2 linked regions of the Caenorhabditis elegans genome follow. The protein of the gene in region 1 interacts with the protein of each later gene in a biochemical or structural test. Each region holds a gene or a part of one and is shown on either strand. Other genes may lie near its edges. The genes, in order: atf-7 and pmk-1.

Region 1 (3,932 bases):
AATAATAAAAAATGCAACAAAAAACCCGCAAAAAATTATTGTTTTTTTTTTGAAATTCTCAGAAAAGAAAACAAACCTGCTCATCACTCATTGGAACTCCTTTCAGACAAACGCATCGTGACTCTCTTTCAGTAAGCAACGCAGTTACCCTTTCGAGTTCCCGTCGCAGCACTTGATTTTGTGTCTGAATAGCCTAATTAAACGTAGACATCAATACAAGATCTCATTTCTCACCAGTAATTGATTCTTTTCAGCCTCCATTGCTTGAACTCTTCCCATCATATCATCATGTTCTTCCTTCTTCCTCTTACGATATCTCACAGCCGCAGCCTTATTTCTCTCGAGAATTGTATTCCTCCTCTCGTCGGGTTGCATGTCGGCTGTTGTGCTTCTTCCTCGACCACGTCCACGGCCAGGTGTACCGTTTTGTGGACGTCCAACTGGATTTCCAGTACTCGTTGAAGCAGTTGATCCAGCATTTGACATATCTGCAGACTGATCTTGATCAGATCCCGAAGATGACATACTGAAATTAAAAACATTATTCTAAAATTCTAAATTCTCGAAAATTCAAAAACTCACTTGCTCCTTTCCATCAACATCATTGCATCATCATTAAAATATGGAATTTCCTTTTTGATCTGCTTTTCTCCGTTTATATGATCCCAACTTCCATCAGCTGGTGATTTTTGTGTGGATGGAGGTTGTGATGATGCTCCAAGTGGTGAGTGATAGGAGCTCACAGTTTTTGGAGGAACAAGCAGTGTTGTTCCAGGAAAAGGTGCTCCACTTGTAGATGGAATAGCCATCGCATTCGTAAGAACAGATGCTGAATTGGGTGCGGAAGAAGATGGAGAACGAAGGAGTGCCGAGAAATCAGGCTTATTATTCAAATAGTTGATTGTATGAAGTCTATCAGAGTGCATGTCGAGTACCGCGTTTAAAACGTCGGCAGTTCGTGGAGCTTGAGCCGAGAAGTCACCGGCCTGAAAACGTTACTGATAAGAACAGAAACTCTAATTTTTAATCACAAATTTGTCATAATTCTTTCTAAATCACACACCGTAATGACATGATTCTCGATTTTTCGATCAAAAACTCACCACAGATAACAATTTGGAAATGTCCGCGGTTTTCAGATTTTCTCGAGTCGTTCCCTCCGAATCTCCAGCATTTAGAAGCATATTTGAAAATATTCCAGGCGAATGTTGAAGTGATGCTTGTGGTATTTTCAATAAAAGATCCGACATTGTTCCGGCATTACTTCCCGAAAATTGTGAACCTCCATTGGCTTCCAAAGCTTCAAGAGATTGATTTGCACCTGATGTATTTGGTTGCATACTTCCAGAACTGATCTTTTGATTCGCTTCTCGGAACTTTGCTTCGAATGGATTTACTGCTAGACATCGTTGCATTAGTTCAGCGGTTGTTGGTAGATCAAGTGGAGTGAACATTAATTTTGGGTTTGGAGTATCGAGACTGAATGGAGACGTTGTGTCGCCCATCAATTGGACGCGCTGAAAAATAAAAAATTAGAAAATCGGTGTATATGAATTTTAGAAATTTTCGATTTTCTTTTTTAGACTTGATACAATTTTTGCCACATTTTACCTTTCCCACCATCATATTGAAATATTCATTAAGAATCTGAGAAGTTTTCGTCATATCTTTCCCATTTGTCATCGACGTTGGCATAACCATCGGACTTATGAGTGCGGCTGCGGCTGAAGCAACCGCAGATGCCACGTCAAGTTCTCCAGATTCTGGAGGCGACGCTGATGACGTCATCATCGTCGTCGCCATAGACGGTGGTGCTGCTAGAGGAGCAGCAGCAATACAGCTCATCAAATGATTGAATGTTTGGGGCAGCAGAAGCTAGAAACAAGACAAAATGTTCGAATGAATCAGAGAATTCAGAGGGTGAAGAAGTGAAACGGCGAAGAAGAAGAAAAAAAAAGCGAGAAAAGACGGAAATGTTGTGTGCTTTGTTTGACATGATAACCCGGAGGGGTGTGTGTATGTGACATCAATTGACCAATGTCTTTTATCAATTTTCCATCATCGAAACTCTCCACCAAATTGTGAATATTTCGTGAGGAGACCTCAAACAGTCAGGTGACGTCAACAGATCGACAAAATGTTGCAGTTAACAGAAAACCCCAACGAATCGAAATTGGGGGGAAAAACCGCAGAGATCAAAAAATTTGTTGGCGCGAGAAAAAAAGCGGTGGGGATAACTAAAGGAGAGAGAGAGATGGGCGGTACGGAACACTTTTCAATTGTTTCGCACGTCACATGACGATTCTAGTGGTGATGATAGTGACGACGACAAGACGATAATGATGATGATAAAAATGATAGTTACTGTAGGAGGACACTACTAATCAGACAAAGTTTTGATTTTTTCTTTTGTACGTAAATGTTTTCGAGAAACTTTTGTTTTTTCTTCAATTTCACGAAAAAAAACTGTGTCGATTTACGCTGTTCGTGTACTCCTCGAGGAGAAGTGTGAATTGAATTTTTGAAGAAGGTCTTGGCCAAAATTTTTGATTGTTTAAAACAATTTTTGCGATATATTTTTGTATTTGATACCGAAAATCGTGTGAGATCCAGTATTTTAGCCCACACACTTCTCCTCGGGGAGTACACTGGCTGCGTAAATCCACACATGTCCGTGTTAGAGGTTCTCATGGCCATTTATATCGAATTCTCCAGTGCAAAATAGTTATCCAGAGAATTTTTAGAGGTGATGATGGAAAAATAGTTGAGAAACGATTCTGATCAAGGACGAATTGCGAATTTGATGAAACACAAAAAACATGGGGCACACGGAAGAGAAGAAGAAGATCGAAGAACAAATGATAGCGGTGTGGGGGTAAACGCGTACCGAATAAAAGAAACGTTCAGTGAATCAGCCGCATTGAAACATGACGAGAATCGAAATTGATCCTAATCTTGAAGACACACACTAATAGTTTTTGGATCACAGTTTTATTCTCGTCTTTTTCGATTTTCAAAGTTCGGTGTCAAAAAATACGTTACAGAAATATGTATGATATTAAGAACGGTTGGATGGATTAGAAAGAATCAAAAGTTCATGGAGAAGTTGACCATACAATCAAACTTCTCAATATAGAACTTAAAAACTTCCGGCCACGTTCTAACCGAAACTAACCGGGAATTTGTAGAGCTAGAATCAAACACCGTGTAATTGAATTCACTTTTGAATAGGTTTTTAACGAAGAAGAGTGATCACATTGAACCTAATTCGTCGGAAGTCGTTTTATCAATGATAAACGGATTAGTGTGAGCACACGCTTCATTGGAAAAAGAGTCACATGAGAAAAAATAAAGAGGGAGCGGATTTATTAAAAGTTTTTTGCCTGAAATTCATTTGCTGACTAATTGGAAAATTATTCGAGAAGGAGAAAGAAGGAAAATGAAACTGAATTTAAATAGTTGAGGGAAGTCCGAAATCGGTGCAACATGGACGCAATTAAAAATCGTCGCAAAACAGAAAAAGCGCGACAAAAATGACGACGTTGTGAATCTTTGCTGCCAATTTTCGTATCTTTGATATGATAACGGCGGTCGACAAAAATCAGAGAGGCGCTTCTCTTTCGTGACACGATCTTCTATTTTGCCTTTTCTGTCTCTTACGTCATCATCGAAAACTATCAGACTGTCAGATTGAAAAGTGAGAAAAGAGAGGAGAATTGGGTGGTGTCTCCGTGTTGTCCAAAAATGATGTCATCATGTTTTTGTTTGTTTCTATTAAAAAAGAGGATGGAAAATATATAATGTTTTGCACACTGATAGTAGTTATCAAGTGATTAAAATTGTTCAATGCCTAACTTGAAATGAAAACGAGGGTATTGTACTTTTATTTAGACAGAATGTCTCTGAACTATTTAATAAAAGGAATGTTGACA
Region 2 (3,932 bases), on another chromosome or scaffold:
TATTTAAAATATGAGCTTTTAAATTTATTTTCTGTTTCAGAGAATGGGAAAACTTCTTATAAGAACAGATTTTAACTTGTTGAACATTAAAATACTTTTTAATCTAAACAGTTTGATGTGAACAGTTGCAAATAACGCTTCAGTACATGAGTCACCAAAATTTCAATTCAACTATTATTCTGAAAAAATTAATGCATCCTTTTCAAAGAAGAAACACACGTTTTAGGCTGGTTAAATCTTACAACAGCTTTGTTTCAAATATTTCTTCCAAAAATTCTTTGATCTTTTTCTCCTAATACTCTTTTACATTCAAATATTTTCCTATTCTTGCAGTATATCCATTCGGCAGGGATTATCCATCGCGATTTAAAACCATCGAATATTGCTGTCAATGAGAGATGCGAAGTCAAGGTTTTTCTTAGTTTTTCTCAACTTTCTTTCCTAATTCTTTCATTTTTCAAGATTCTCGATTTTGGATTGGCTCGTGCTCAAGACGCCGAAATGACTGGATACGTGGCAACAAGATGGTACAGAGCTCCAGAGATTATGCTCAATTGGATGCATTATACACAGACTGGTGAGTAAATAAAAGAAATTGGTTTCTATGCACTTAAATAGTCACCTAAAATCTTTGAACTAAATTGTTAAATATCATATGATTTGAGGTTAACTTCTGACATTTTGAAAGCATGTTTCACCTGTTTCTTGTAGTTATGCTAAAACGTGTGAAAATATGAAGAATAAACTTTGACTTGATATTGGTATTTCTGGTTTCTGCAATTCTCTCTCTATTCCAACTTCCTATTTTTTCAAATAAACGAAAAACTTGATATATTTATCACATGAAACAAAAACATCATTTTTTTTTACTTCTAAAAATGTTACCAAAATATTGAATTTTTCAGTTGATGTTTGGTCAGTTGGATGTATTCTTGCGGAACTGGTATCCGGGAGACCATTGTTTCCAGGCGATGATCGTGAGTTTTATTCTATTCCTCTAATACTTTAAATATTTAAAATTTGCAGATATTGATCAGCTAACAAAGATAATGTCAGTTGTGGGTACCCCAAAAGAAGAATTCTGGTCCAAAATTCAATCAGAAGAAGCTCGAAATTATATTAAGTTAGTGTTGCAAATACTTCTGAAATTCAATTACTAGACTAGAACTGAAAAAAAAAATAAATCGTTTACGCAAAAATCTTTCAGAAATCGTTCTCCAATTATCCGTCAGGACTTCGTTACATTGTTTCCAATGGCTTCTCCATATGCTCTCGAACTTCTCGAAATGATGCTAATTTTGGATCCGGACAGAAGAATTTCTGTATCAAGTGCTCTTCGTCATGACTATCTTCGTGAATACTCTGTGCCAAATGATGAACCAGTTGCAATGGATACGGTAATAAATAGCATAGTACGAAATTTAAGTTCGCTTCTCTAAAAGTACTCCAATTTTCTTGTTAGGTCACAATTGATCCAGCTGAAGAACGAGCAACAACGTTATCCGACTGGCGAGAGTTAATTTGGAATGAGATTCGATTATTCCAAAACTCGGCACGAAGACTAAGTTTTGTAAGCTGTACGGATACGGAAGAAGAGCCAATGAAAATATGAAGTCAAATGTGTTCAAGTGCTAAAATATCTCAAAACTGTGGAATTTTCTTTTTTCTATATTGTATCTCCCTAAACTATTTATTTCACTAAAAATCAAATTTGTGTCCCTAATTCCTTGATCTCTAATTATCCAACAATCGATCTCAGATGTTCTTTTCCACAAAATCTCAATTTTTTCCTTTGAAACCATAGACTTGTGATTTACCTTAACTTTCTCGTTAATCCTATAAGTTGCCATGACCTCAGAGCCTCTTTTAATTTATTATTCATTTAGATTCATTTATCAAATTGAAGTGTATAAAGAATTAATGTAAATATTCAATTTTCTAAATACTCTTAAACATTTAATCGGTTCAAATTGCCGCTTAATTTTTATATTTACATTTATATTGGTTTTACGTACACAAAAAAATCATATTTTTTTCAAAATAATTACTTCAAATCTTACAAACATGATTCCAGGTAACGGAGCCAATGTTTCCACAGACAACAATGGATCATATACTTCATCCGACTCCACGAGAAGGATACTATGTCGTTGAGCTTAATCGAAGTGTCTGGGTTGTTCCAAATTATTATATTAACTTGACTCCAATTGGTACCGGAGCATATGGAACTGTTTGGTATGTCATTTCAACTGATTTTTACTTTATTTTTCGATTTTTAGTGCTGCTGAATGTACTCGCTCGGGGACTCGCGTCGCAATCAAAAAATTCAATCGTCCATTTCAATCAATAATTCATGCCCGTCGTACATATCGTGAACTCCGACTTCTTCGTTGTATGTGTCATGAAAATATAATTGATCTACTTGATGTCTTCACTCCAAATGAGAATGTAAATGATATCGAGGATGTGTATTTTGTATCAATGTTGATGGGAGCTGATCTATCAAATATTCTCAAAATTCAGCGACTCAACGATGACCACATTCAATTCTTAGTCTATCAAATTCTTCGTGGACTCAAATACATTCATTCTGCAGATATTATTCATCGAGATCTTAAACCATCAAATATTGCTGTTAATGAGGATTGTGAATTGAAAATTCTTGATTTTGGATTGGCACGTCAAACTGATTCTGAAATGACTGGATACGTGGCAACAAGATGGTACAGAGCTCCAGAGATTATGCTCAATTGGATGCATTACACGCAGACTGTTGATGTATGGTCAGTTGGGTGTATTCTTGCAGAACTTATCACTGGAAAAACATTGTTCCCTGGATCTGATCGTAAGACTTTTTTTCTACAATATTCCAAATATCTTCAATTTCCAAGCAAAAAACCAGAGTAAATATTTATGGTTGTTAACTTTATTGTACACTGGCGTTTCATAACATAGAAAAAAAATCATTTTGCTAAGTTATTCGTACCGTAGCAGGCGGAAAAAATTTATAATTAATTATTACCTCTTATTGCAAATTTTGGTAGTTTATCTCCAGTTGATTTGAGGATTTAGGCGCATTTGTAGTCGCGGTGTTAACTACCAAAATATGGACTAAGATAATTCAATAAAAACAAACAAAACAACAAAAAACAAAACACAAACGTTATTTTCTTTTGAAAATGTAGACTTTTCATTTAAAACTACTGTTTCAGACATCGATCAATTGACTCGTATCATGTCAGTAACTGGAACACCAGATGAAGAATTCCTTAAAAAGATCTCATCAGAAGAAGCTCGTAATTACATTCGAAATCTTCCAAAAATGACTCGCCGTGATTTCAAACGTCTGTTTGCTCAAGCAACTCCTCAAGCAATCGATCTCCTTGAAAAGATGCTTCACCTTGATCCAGATCGTCGTCCAACTGCAAAAGAAGCTATGGAGCATGAATATCTGGCTGCTTATCACGATGAAACTGATGAGCCAATTGCAGAAGAAATGGATTTGAATGATGATGTAAGGGCAGATACAATTGATGAATGGAAGAAAATTATTTGGGAAGAGATCAGTGATTTCCAGGTAATATATATTTACACTTGTTTTTGAACCAACTAATTATGCATAAAATCAAACGAAGGACACCCCCAGTGGGTTCATTTTGTGATCAAAATTCATTTCCGACTGTCAAAAACGTATCAATTTAAGCGGTTATTATTTAATTCGAATACTTTTGAAATTCTATAAATAACCTATACTACTCTAACGTTGAGTTACACCTAACCCAAACCTTTACACTTTGTTATGAAATTGATATGAATGATAAGGATGATTCAGTGCGGGGGGTTAAGTAGAAACGAGACATGAGTCATATTCAATTTCTTGGAAGCCAAATTATCAATGAAAAAAAAGTTGACTCAGGAAACTCAGAAAAAAC

Evidence for each region.
Region 2: of the proteins of atf-7 (region 1) and pmk-1, one has a biochemical effect on the other in vitro, tested with the Caenorhabditis elegans proteins (one study listed by BioGRID).

What each region holds. Positions count from the first base shown.
Region 1 is NC_003281.10:4,492,576-4,496,507, forward strand, and holds the start of atf-7 (Transcription factor atf-7), read right to left. Parts: upstream 1,876-3,932; 5' UTR 1,804-1,875; coding exon 1,612-1,803; intron 1,518-1,611; coding exon 1,104-1,517; intron 987-1,103; coding exon 583-986; intron 527-582; coding exon 235-526; coding exon of another isoform or gene 211-234; exon of another isoform or gene 194-210; coding exon 77-193; intron 1-76. UniProt on the Caenorhabditis elegans protein: Transcription factor which regulates the transcription of various genes, including those involved in innate immunity and oxidative stress responses. Binds to promoter regions of genes, probably at 5'-[GACGTCA]-3' consensus sequences.
Region 2 is NC_003282.8:8,146,720-8,150,651, forward strand, and holds the start of pmk-1 (Mitogen-activated protein kinase pmk-1), read left to right. Parts: upstream 1-2,074; 5' UTR 2,075-2,086; coding exon 2,087-2,235; intron 2,236-2,279; coding exon 2,280-2,845; intron 2,846-3,212; coding exon 3,213-3,577; intron 3,578-3,932. Other genes in the region: Mitogen-activated protein kinase pmk-2, read left to right, coding at 334-411, 463-577, 906-977, 1,027-1,123, 1,208-1,412, 1,463-1,612. UniProt on the Caenorhabditis elegans protein: Serine/threonine kinase which responds to activation by environmental stress and pro-inflammatory cytokines by phosphorylating downstream targets. As part of a MAP kinase signaling pathway, plays a role in modulation of lifespan and immunity.